Linked DNA regions of Oryza sativa Japonica Group. Each later gene encodes a partner of the first gene's protein in a complex. Links are inferred from orthologs where the notes say so. Each region holds a gene or a part of one and is shown in the gene's direction. Other genes may lie near its edges.

Region 1 (4,076 bases):
GAGACGGCGTCGGGTGGGGGGACGCCCTGGAGACACGCATTGTTGATGCTCTCAGAACCCATGAATTGCATAAGATTAAGACATTCAGTCCAATTTCTTCCAATATTCTTTCTAAAAGAGATCTTGTAAAGTTTGCATGTGACAAAAAAAAAAGAACTACTACATAACACTATACTGTTACAACAGAATACCTTATGGTGCTAACATCAGCACAGGATCGTAGGTATCATATTTGTATGTGCACTGGATCTGGTACTACCAGACACGATATCCATTAATACCACATTATCAGACTCTCGTATTGGTTCCTATTTCCTTCGTCCCATAAAAAATCAATTTCTAGGAATGAATCCGGACAACATTCTTAGGACATTCACAGTGCGCTACATATTTTTGCCGTTCCTCATATGCCACGTAGACGAAGAACCTGTTAAGCTTCATCCTCTACAATGCAAGTACTAGTAGTGGGTCCCACCGGTACAGTTTTTTCAATTTTCATCTCTCAATCTCTCTCTCTCCTCTGTTTCTTTTCTCATCCGAAATCTTTCATCCCCCAATCTCTCACTCTATTTCTTTTCTCACCAGGGCATCCGAGGCGCTGGGGCTGAGCGGCGGCGGCTGTCAGGGCAGCCCGAGCTGCGACGGTGCCGGACGGCGAGCTCCCATCCTCATCATTGGATACGGTGGCGGTCGCAGCCTCTTCGTCGATGGCGCCTTCCTCTCTCTCTCTCCCCGTGGCTGTGGCGACAATGCGCTCGCTGTCGACGCTGCGCGAAGCCACTCGTGTGAGGCTCCGCCCTCCACAACACGACAACTCACCTTTCTCCCTGCTTTCTTCGTTTGAAGAACGAGTATCCATGTTTGGGTACGAGAACCTTATTTGGCTCCGCGTACTGTCAATGCGGCGCCGAATATTCAGTTCTTGGCTATGGGGCTGAACGTCACATCCTTCTACTGTGAACACTCTTAGAAGTTGTATCTTTTGGGATAGAGAGTGTAGGTACTCTGATGGTACGGCCAGACATTTCTGATACTCTCGCAACTAACAGATTATGGGTAATGGTTCGTAGTATTTTTAAAAAGTAAATAGCACTACATTATCGGTGGTTCTTTTGGACCGTACCCAGTAACGGCGAAATCGTGAGCTTTTGGGCCCAATCCGACGCCCGCGGCGCCGCAGCGCACCACCCTCCCCCAACCGTCTCCCCCGCGCGCGCGGGCACACACGGCTCGGCTAATCCAAAATAGCCCAAATCGCACGAGTCCTCCCCCGTCCCCCGCGACGCGCGAGCGAGAGAGAGCCCTATCCGCTGCGCGCTTCGCCCGCTCGCCTCGCCCTCGCCTCACCGGCTATTATAACACTCTCGCGCTGCCACTTCGCCTTTTCCTCCCCTTTCTATCCTCCACCTCGGCTTATCTCCTCCCCCCTCCCCACCACCACCACCACCACCATGGCCACAGCCGCTTCCCTCTCCGCCACCGCCTCCTCCCTCCTCGCCCCCGCCCCCGCCACCACCGGCGCCGCGGCGGCGCAGTGCTGCTCCTCCTCGTCCACCGCGCTGTTCCCCACCCCCGTCCCGTCGCTGCGCGCCTACTACCCGCGCCTGCTCCTCGCGTTCCGCCGCCCCGCCGTCGCCGCCGTCGCAGACCCGCAGGGCGCCGTGCTCGAGGAGGAGCAGGGGGAGCAGCAGGACGAGGGGCAGGAGCAGTACGACGACGACGACTACGACGACGGGTACGAGGGCGGACGCGGCCCCGCGTTCACGCCCCCCACCCGCCCGCGCACCGGCAAGGCCGCCCTTCCGCTCAAGCGCGACCGCGTATGCCCCCCCCGAATCCAGCCTCCCCCCCGCGTGTTCATCCATTCGTGTTGATTTTTGGATTGACGCTGACGCCGCGTTCGCCTTTTTTTTGATGGGTTTGCAGACGAGGTCGAAGCGATTCCTGGAGATACAGAAGCTGAGGGAGAGCAAGAAGGAGCACGACGTGCCCACGGCCATCTCGCTGGTGAAGCAGATGGCCAGCGCCCGATTCGTCGAGTCCGCTGAGGCGCACTTCCGCATGAACCTCGACCCCAAGTACAACGACCAGCAGCTCCGCGCCACGGTTATTGCTCTTTCTCTCTGCTGTTGCCATTGTTACGTACGTTCTGTTCTGGCTTGTGTTTTATCAATCGTTTTTGATGATATTGGATCGGTTTTGGTGATGATGTGCAGGTTAATTTGCCCAAGGGGACGGGCCAGTCGGTGAAGATTGCGGTCCTCACACAAGGTGGGTTGCAATTACATTTTGGAGATTGTTATCGCAGCACCAATTCCAATTGCAATCTTTGGTGCATGGATTGATTAGGTCACTGCTAGTTGTGTCTTTTAGGTGTGGTTTGCCTGCTTGATCATGTGGTTATTTACGGTTCATTAAATTGGAAGCACGCTGTTATATAGTGAATTGAAATGGAAGTATGTGAATGCGCGCTAGTCACTAAAGTGGTGCACTAATCACTAGCACTATGTAATGGCTATTGTCAAATATCCTTGCAGGTGAGAAGATAGATCAAGCAAGAGCTGCAGGAGCTGATATTGTCGGTGGAGATGACCTGATTGACCAAATAAAAGGAGGATTTATGGAATTTGACAAGCTGATTGCATCACCTGATATGATGCCTAAGGTATGGCATTAGCTGCATAACTCATGTCTAAAACAATTCCAAGCATTATGAAGACTTGTCTTTTTGCATGTCTCCGACATAGTTTATCCCACATCCAAATGAACACGTTATGTTTCAGTGTTATTAGGAACCACAAAACCAGGCAACATTTAGTTGTATTGATCAGATATTGTTTTCTTATCATTACCTGCCATATCTGATCCATCCCTTCATATTACAAGTGTCTAGCATTTACGATTATGATTTGAGCCATAATGGAGATATGCAAATTTGGTTCACTCAGAGAAAATAGATTCGATAAGCAAATAAGGTTCTACTGTTTTGAATTGGTACATTCTTCGGAAGTTTGGATGCAGTTCTGCAATAAGTGTTGAGCTCCATGCAAGACCTGCATGGAAGTTTTAAAGGTGTGCTACTAGCTCGGCATATTATGTTGTTGATTTTGGTCTTTTGCTTCACAGGTCGCCGGATTGGGAAAGATTCTAGGACCGAGAGGACTTATGCCTAACCCCAAAGCTGGGACTGTTTCTCCAAACATAACTCAGGTACAATGGAAATTCTACAGATTACTATATGTATTGACACTGTTGCTTGTGGTTTTCTCTCCCATTTGCTTGGTTATTGTGACCCTGAGTGAAAGGTGGGTAACTGTCCATTTACCTTCTTTGATCCTTGGTGAACTTCTGTTTTATCCTCGTTCAATGCAATAGGCAGAACTCCTGCCCTTTTGTTCAAAGAAGTTGTCCATTTACGTCATCTCAGTACTTACCTCATAGATGCACTTCTGGGAGAAAACCTACTGATATATTGCTACCTTGTTTAGTAGTCTTCATTGTGTGTGCAATATATTTCAGTGGTTCGATTTTCAGACATGTTGATAGACATTTTTTTAACCTTGTTATTCGTAGATAGAAGGTTTGAAATTTTGTTTGTGCCAACTGAATTTGAGGATATGCATGGATGCATAGCTCCATCGTTCGTTTGTTGGCTTATCAACGGCAGCCAAAATCTGGATTTTGAAACTTAATTTAGAATTGATTTTGAGGGGTTTTTTTTATTGTGCTTTATTCTCCAGTGCTGGCTTTTGAATCGCTAAGAACATAGATATAGACGTTTTACTCAAAAGTTATTTTTGGTTGCTTCGTCATTTTTCCACGGCTTATCAGCCATAGAGCAAATGATCGTGTAATGACTGATGATGATGGTAATCTGCTACTTAGCCTGCATAGTGCCTCCGTAACAGTTATGTAAAGCATCACAACAAATCTGCAAAATAGAGAAAACAGGTAAAGTAGGCTACTTGACTGTTAGGAACAACCATCATTTATAACGGTTAACTGAAGGACAGGAGTGGGAGCATTTGTGAAAAATCTAGCCCTTTAGGTAATGAACTGGGCTATATTGTGCTCAT
Region 2 (3,809 bases), on another chromosome or scaffold:
TTGATAGAACTGGGAGTACGGAAGATAGTCTCTTTAAGATGGCTAGGTCAAAATATAAGCAAAGGAGGACTCAACAAGATTTGAAAAAAAAAACAACAATCAGGTCCTCCTCTGTCTTATGCCCACATTGGTGGTGACTGGTGACATACTTGATGGCAGTGGGTGCTACATGGACACGGCGAGCTACAGAAGATGTTGCCTTGACGCATTCCCAAATAGGGTTTCACAACAATAGAGGTTAAGGCCATGACAATTCATGAAAAGGTTCATCAATACCATAGATGAGTACATCCAGAGCTAAATGAGATTGTTCTTGGAGCAGAACCATCAAGGTCGACAACCTAATCGTTGATATTGGTGATAGAGACAAAGATTTCATGGCAAGTTGCATAAAAAAGCACCAAGAAGCTTACCTTATTAGGGCCTCCATAGCCTAAGGTTGAGGAATCCAAGCATATAGCAAACAAAACTCAACTGCTTCTTGAAGGTTTGCCACCAATAAAGAGGAAGAAAACTATCATCCTTGCGAAAAGCCTGCTGGAGAAAAGAAAGATAACTTGCCTAACTTCCCTTAACTAGGTCTAGCTTTCTCCTAACTCACGGTGATAGAGAATTACCCGGTGTTTTAGAGGGATACCACTAGAGAAGAAACTTCGATTGCCTTCTCCATGAAACCTAGGACTAGAAGGCCAACATCGCCGACCTTCACGCTCAAACTAAAAGAAAAACCCAACTAAATTGATTGACCTACAAAGAGAGAGTTTGTCGGACTTCTCTCCCTCACCTCGCCGGCGGCAAGGTCACCCGAGCCTGTGAGGAAGAGGGGTCGAGGAGGCGTAGTAGTTCAGTTTGGCTCTTTCGTCCGAGAGTTCACGAGAGTTCTCATCACTCGTGTTAATTCGCATATTCTTTATGGTCTAATCAACACATTCGATCCAACTCTTTTATAATCTTTAACTGATTAAATCAAACGATTCTAAACTTTAGAAAGGAGAAACAAAATGAGTACGTGCAGTATCGCTAAAAAACTAGTAGGGCATAGTTTCATGTTTTTCATGGGTATCTAATCTGAGCCGTTGATCTCCAATCGAACGGCTCAGGGTAACCTCCCTATCCACAATATTATCCCTCTTCTTTCTTTCCGATACGATAGCCCACACTCTCATCCACACTGCTCTTCCCCCCCGCGCGCCGGCCATGGCCACCGCGACGCTGCCCCTCCGCCTCCTCGCCTCCAAAACCCTAGCCTTCCCCTCCGCCCCGTCCCTCCCGGCCTCGCGATGCTCCCTCCCCGTCGCCGCGTCCGCGCCCCGCCGCTGCTGGCGGCTCCTCGCTTCCGCCGAGGAGCCGGCGCCCGCACCCGTGGAGGCCGAGGCCGAGGCGGAGGTGGTAGAGGAGGAGGAGGTTGAAGAAGAGGAGGCTGCGGTGCCGGAGCCTGTGGAGGCGCAGATCGCAGCCGCGGGCGCCGGGAAGGACGCCGACATCTTCGCCGTTGTCATGGTGGGGCTAGCTTGCCCTTGCCGCCAATATTTCAGATTTAGTCCTGCTCGGCTCACTGCAAACAAACAAAAAAAGAATCACATTTGTTCATGCTACATTACCTCGAATTCTTTAAATAATATCATTACACAGGCATTTGGCGCTAGTTGCGTTGCTTCTTGCGGTGAAGTGAGCATTTGATTTCAGGCTTGTGTTGCTTACTCTATGCTGCATAAGAAGCTTAGGATTCACGCGCCAATAGGAATGCGCGCACGCCGATTATTAGTATGTACAGGACACACCATTAAGAAAACGGCGCAGAGAATTACAGTGTTTTCGAATGATACAATACTAGTCTTACAGAGAATTGTTCGGATGCATTTCTGAAATATGCAGGAGTGCATCTGAGGAGGGTTTCTCTGTGTTTTGTTTTGTATGAGCGCTGTGAATAATAACGAGGGAGCTATTTTGATTATTTTTCTTCTGTCGCAGATTGGGTCGAGACAGTACATTGTGATGCCTGGAAGGTATATATACACGCAGAGGCTGAAAGGCGCCAATGTCAATGATCAGGTCTGGTGCTTCCACTTTAGAGGATGCAGGAGGATACTTGTTACACCCTAACTAGAAATTTGGCCTATTTTTGCTAGTTAGTTGGTTTGTATTAATCCATAAATTTAAAAGGTATATGATGCTGAGGTGGCTTCTAGATAAGGTGATTGTAAATTAGGAAAAGGCAAATATATAGTATTGGTTATTTGGTTATTATTCTTTTTCATCCATGAGATGCAATAACAAACTTCAAAACAACGAGGAAGGTTGTACATTCTGAAATTATGGAAAGTGGTAGTGACCTACTTCATTTTAGAAGTAAAAGAGTCACTTCCCTGTAATTATAACACTTCAATCCCAGTTCCTGATTTCACATAAATATCTTATTCAGAACTTTTCGATAAGTTTTGTGTAGCCTGCATATATTAGCTTCGTTCCTTTTCTAACTAAAATTACTCCTCTGATGCAAAGCTTCCAATCCCATAGGACCCATACGTTGGCTTATGTTGCTGGCATTTTTAGTATTGTTTTCCCAGAAATTCTCACTTCTGGATAATGCTGATGTGCAGATAATATTAAACAAGGTATTACTGGTATCAACTAGAGACAAGGCTTACATTGGCATGCCAGTGGTGACCAATGCTGCTGTTCATGCAGTGGTTGAGGAACAGGTATGTCCTCTGTATGTTGTCGGGTTAATCATGGATATTCAAAATTACTTGACCCTGATGTCTCCCCAATATTTTTATATCAGGGACGGGATGATAAAGTGATAGTCTTCAAATATAAGAAGAAGAAGAAGTACCAGAGGAAACTTGGTCACAGACAGGTAAGTTTTTCCAATTACCTTCTTCAAGAAAGGTAGAATTTTATTGATAAATACTGATTCAGTTTTTACAGCGAAGCAATTAGAGTTCTTTTAGATTAAAAATCTCTGTTGTTTTGCAGCCAAACACAAGGTTAAGAATTACCGGCATAAGTGGATACGAGGACTTCCCTGCTGACCCGATACTTGAGTATGTTCCAGCTTAAGAGCAATTGTAAGTTCTGTAGTTACAAACAACTGGTAGTACATTAGAATACGAGTGCTACCTTTTCTTGTCTGGAAGAACAGTTTTTGAACAAAATTTGCTTTGTTCATGTGTTCGAGTGCTGCCAGTCATCCAGTTGTTCCATCCTTTGTTTATTCCACCATCTGTTTTGTTCATTCTGATATTGTGTATCCTAGCCAACTGTATTATTTTCACTGTGCTTAAAAAAAGAGAGAGCATTTTACCACGATACGGATGTTTTAGCTTTGGTTTGTGTAACTTTATACAGTTTTTGTGACTACTGATGCTAATTTCACTGTTTTTGGCATCTGTACCAATGGTGCTTAGTTTATTGAACGGGCTATGTCCTAATATTTTGGGATCAGTTACAGTACTATGTTCAATGCAGTTCTGGTCATGATTTATTCGAGTGTTCTAAGAGAAGTTCTGCAAGGCCATATATAAGGTGTTTGTGTGCAACCTTGTACTGCTTAGGGCACATAAGCAGCTGGTTAGGACTTAGGCCATATAAGCATCTACAAGGCAGGTGGCTGCATGGATTCTGCTTACCACTTTTTAGAACCTTGGTTCATGAAGAACTGCAGAAGTTTTGCCCTTTTGAATCCTTACCAAAGATAACCAGTGGCATAAGGCGTATAATCTTTTGGCAAACTATGACTGTTTCAGTAGTCCTTCACCCCTAATTGCATATTACAGTTCTGAATTATAGTGGTTTTCAGACATCTT
Region 3 (3,577 bases), on another chromosome or scaffold:
CAAATCTCTCTCTCTCAAAAAAGGAGTGCAACAGTCAGACTTGATGCACAATCCATATGCTTCTTGATTCTGCATACCTTTCTGTCATTGTGTATTCAGCTTGTTAATTTCTGCTTTACATCGTTGAAGTGTTTCTGGTTGCTAAATAGGACAAATTTTATACTTGTAGATATACAAATACACTTAATTGAACTTGATTAACATAATTCTGTACAGAGCACAGCTTAAGCAGGCAAAGGTGAACAGAGATGTAGTTAACATGCCTTGGTGCTGATGTGTGAAGGTGTTCCAGATGCTTGGTCTTCTGCTACCCTCAGCTGCACCACCCTCGTACTGTAAGTCAAGAAAGGCCAACTCTTCAGATTTCAGACAAAGACAAAACATGTTACAATGTGACAGTTAATTTTTGGCAACTCATTCATTCCTTGGTGCCAATCTGAGCATTATTCAGTAGCATCGTGTAACACGCAAAAATCAACGAAAACAACAAAAGAAATTCCTTCTTTTTTCTTAATTACAGGTGGAATTAATCAGCTGTGGTGTGAAACTGTGAACCCGTAGGGAAGCAGGGGAGGGAGCTCCCGCTCCTGCATGACGGCATCCGGCGGCGGTAGCACGGTCCTCAGCCACGCCCTTTGTTGCACGGCCAGTGGCCTCCGTCCGAGATCCCCTTGGTGCCGCGACTTGGGGAGAGAGGCGGTCGGCGAATCAAAAGGCAGAAGCGAAGACGGACGTAGCGATGCATGTGATTTCCTCCTCCCCATCCCCAAGCACGGCAACCGAACTCATCGCCCCATCCAGCGACGAGGTGGATCTATGCCACCGCCGCCGAACTTGAGGGGAAAGACGGCACAGAACGGCGCGCTGGCGCGTGGGAGGGTCAGCCTAGGGCGTCGGAGGGGCGGAGGTGGAGCTGGAGCGCGGGGAGGAGGAAGAGGCGGCGACATCGGCGTAGGAGGACAAGTCGACCTCCGACGAATGAGGCGGAGGAAGCGGGGGCGGGGGCGCCGGCGGAGAGAAGGGCATTGCAGGTTTGGTATAACTTTTTCAAAAAGACCCCTAAAACCTCACATATTACAACGAGGTCCACCGCAGCTATTCCACACCGTTGATCTGTGATCTGACGGCTGCGAGAGGGAGACGAAAGCTGGAATCGTGCAGCGCCACGTGGAGGGGTTATTTGCACGCGAATCCGCGTAGATTTCGATATTTAGAGATGTGACATGCATATTAAGCAAGTGAAAGCCGTCCGATAATGCTTGAAGATTCGTGCCCCGAGTGGCTAATCAACATGACCAGATAAACCCCCTTATCCACGAACCCCGACCGGCAGAGAGCGCAGACGCGAGCGCAGCGCAAAAGATGGCGACGATGTCCCTCGCCGCGGCGTCCCCCCTCGCCTCGACTCCCCGTGGGCTCGCCGTCTCCACTCCCCGCACGGCCTTCCTCGGCCTCCTGACCGGAGGGGCGTCGCTGGCGCCGTTCCCGGGACTGGCGGCGGCGGCGGCGCCGCCGCGGCTGCCAGCGGGGAGGGGCGACGCGGCCGTGGCCAGGATGGCGAAGAGGGAGCAGGAGCTGGAGGAGATTCGGGCCATGCCGACGGAGAAGATCGAGGAGGAAGTGGTGGACCTGAAGGGGGAGCTCTTCATGCTCCGCCTCAAGCGCTCCGCGCGCCAGGAGTTCAAATCCAGCGAGTTCGGCCGCATGCGCAAGAGGGTATGTCTCTTACTCCATGGGGTACAGATATACCACAACTGCTAATTCCATTGCGAAAGTTTAGCATTTACTCCTGGCCAAAATGCGTTCAACCTACGAGTGGAAATTCCACCTTCTACTTCCAAATGGGTGTGGAGTGGTCGCATGTTCTGCTCAGTGTGTTCTGTTTACAAGGCCCTTTTGTTCAACCTCTAGTACTGAGTTGATTATGTTCAGATATATTGAGTTGATTTCAGGTTCAGAATAGTGGAATAACTTACCAATTTGTTGGTGGAATTTTGCCTGATTTTTATCAGTTGCATATTGGCCCATACTGAATTTACAGATGATTTGGGTTAATGCTTGGACAATTTCAGTCTCAGAAGCAATTTTTTTTTACTTAATTTGATTAGAAAGTCATGCTGACATCCATTTACGTATTCTTACATAGTATCTACTTTGGGTTTGTAGTATTGTTTATTGGATTTTAGTGCATAGAGTACTACATGAAGAATGATATTGCAATGCAATGTGTATCTGAAGAGCTTTTATACTGTTCTTGGGAAAGTAGTGTTAAATTAACCTTCAGTGGACCAAAATTTAAAATGGAACAAAACTTTGTTCTGAGGACGTCAAAATGCAGATAGTACACAAGAACTAATTCTACGGTCAGTTATGTGATACCTTGTTCTTCTTGAGGGCTTCTGATAAGTCAATTGTTATGAATTATCACTTGCTTTGGAGTTCAGGTCTCCACCTCTGCTCAGGGACAGCACAGGACAAATAGTTAGCAGCAGAGTAATGCATACTTATATCTGCCTCGATCAATGCTTCTTGCCTTTTAGGAGGAGGATATCAGATTTTTTTTTCCTGTTGTTTTTCTCACCCTGCTCATCTTGCTTCAATAGCAGCTTTCTACTATCTAAATTTAGCATTGACTTGGGTTGTCATCTTCGCATCAGATTGCTCGTATGCTGACTGTCAAAAGAGAACGGGAAATTGAACAAGGAATCAACAAGAGATTGTCTAGGAAGCTTGACAGGAAATGGAAGCAAAGCATCGTGGTTAGACCACCACCATCTCTAAGGGAGAACAAGGAGGAATAGAGAGCCACAAAAGCAGACAGTCTGTAGAAGTCATTTCATGCATGTCTTGAAGGAAGGTTTCTTTCTCCCTGTGGTTTCATTCCTTATAATGGATTGATATGTAATTCACATTAACTGATTTCCAAGTCCTTGCTGTCAAAACCAAAAGTTCTATTACCAATTCCATTTGTGTAAATTTCAGTTTATTCAAAATGTGTTGTCCATATATGCACTTATATTACTGATATATGAAACTGTGCTTAACGAGTGTATGCTATACACTTGTTGAAACTCAAACTGCCTATTCAAATTCACCTGTCACAAAGTTGTGGGTACGTACATACTATAAGAGGCAGATATGCAGAGTTCTAAAGAAGTGTCTCTGGAATACGGAGTAACAAAAACAAGAGAATTAGGCCATGTCTATAATAGTTCGCTTGGAATTTTGGTGCCCTGCTTTGCTCCAAACTCAAGTTCACTGTTTTATCAAACGTTTCAAAACTGTACAACTGTCTCCAAGCCCACGTTCTTGTGGCTTGTTGTGTCGGTCACCTAGATTTATGTTATTGTTCAACACTGATTTATGCTTAAACTAGCTCTGTTAGACTGTCCTAAAGCATGTTGGGCTTTCCCCTTCTACTCTAGCTTTAGAGTATGCTGCAGGTATCTCTGCACAGAGCTAGGGAGCCATCCTAGATCCATCATCAGTTTCATAAGCAAGCCCAGGTGGCTTGGCCCTTCAGCCAAAACTTGTTATTCTGATCTCTTCAACAGATCTTAACTTGAGATGTAGAGAG

The links. The genes of interacting proteins can lie anywhere in the genome.
Region 2: large ribosomal subunit protein uL1c (region 1) and large ribosomal subunit protein bL21c share a complex: the UniProt entries of both Arabidopsis thaliana proteins name them as parts of the 50S ribosomal subunit. The link is inferred for Oryza sativa Japonica Group from reciprocal best matches to the Arabidopsis thaliana genes EMB3126 and RPL21C.
Region 3: large ribosomal subunit protein uL1c (region 1) and large ribosomal subunit protein uL29c share a complex: the UniProt entries of both Arabidopsis thaliana proteins name them as parts of the 50S ribosomal subunit. The link is inferred for Oryza sativa Japonica Group from reciprocal best matches to the Arabidopsis thaliana genes EMB3126 and AT5G65220.

The regions. Positions count from the first base shown.
Region 1 is NC_089039.1:18,889,706-18,893,781, forward strand, and holds the start of large ribosomal subunit protein uL1c, read left to right. Parts: upstream 1-1,272; 5' UTR 1,273-1,451; coding exon 1,452-1,820; intron 1,821-1,926; coding exon 1,927-2,106; intron 2,107-2,216; coding exon 2,217-2,271; intron 2,272-2,537; coding exon 2,538-2,665; intron 2,666-3,126; coding exon 3,127-3,210; intron 3,211-4,076. UniProt on the Arabidopsis thaliana protein: This protein binds directly to 23S ribosomal RNA.
Region 2 is NC_089036.1:9,030,857-9,034,665, reverse strand, and holds large ribosomal subunit protein bL21c, read left to right. Parts: upstream 1-1,151; 5' UTR 1,152-1,197; coding exon 1,198-1,500; intron 1,501-1,971; coding exon 1,972-2,052; intron 2,053-2,600; coding exon 2,601-2,702; intron 2,703-2,785; coding exon 2,786-2,860; intron 2,861-2,979; coding exon 2,980-3,063; 3' UTR 3,064-3,309; downstream 3,310-3,809. UniProt on the Arabidopsis thaliana protein: This protein binds to 23S ribosomal RNA in the presence of protein L20.
Region 3 is NC_089036.1:32,213,725-32,217,301, forward strand, and holds large ribosomal subunit protein uL29c, read left to right. Parts: upstream 1-1,331; 5' UTR 1,332-1,362; coding exon 1,363-1,716; intron 1,717-2,657; coding exon 2,658-2,801; 3' UTR 2,802-3,077; downstream 3,078-3,577.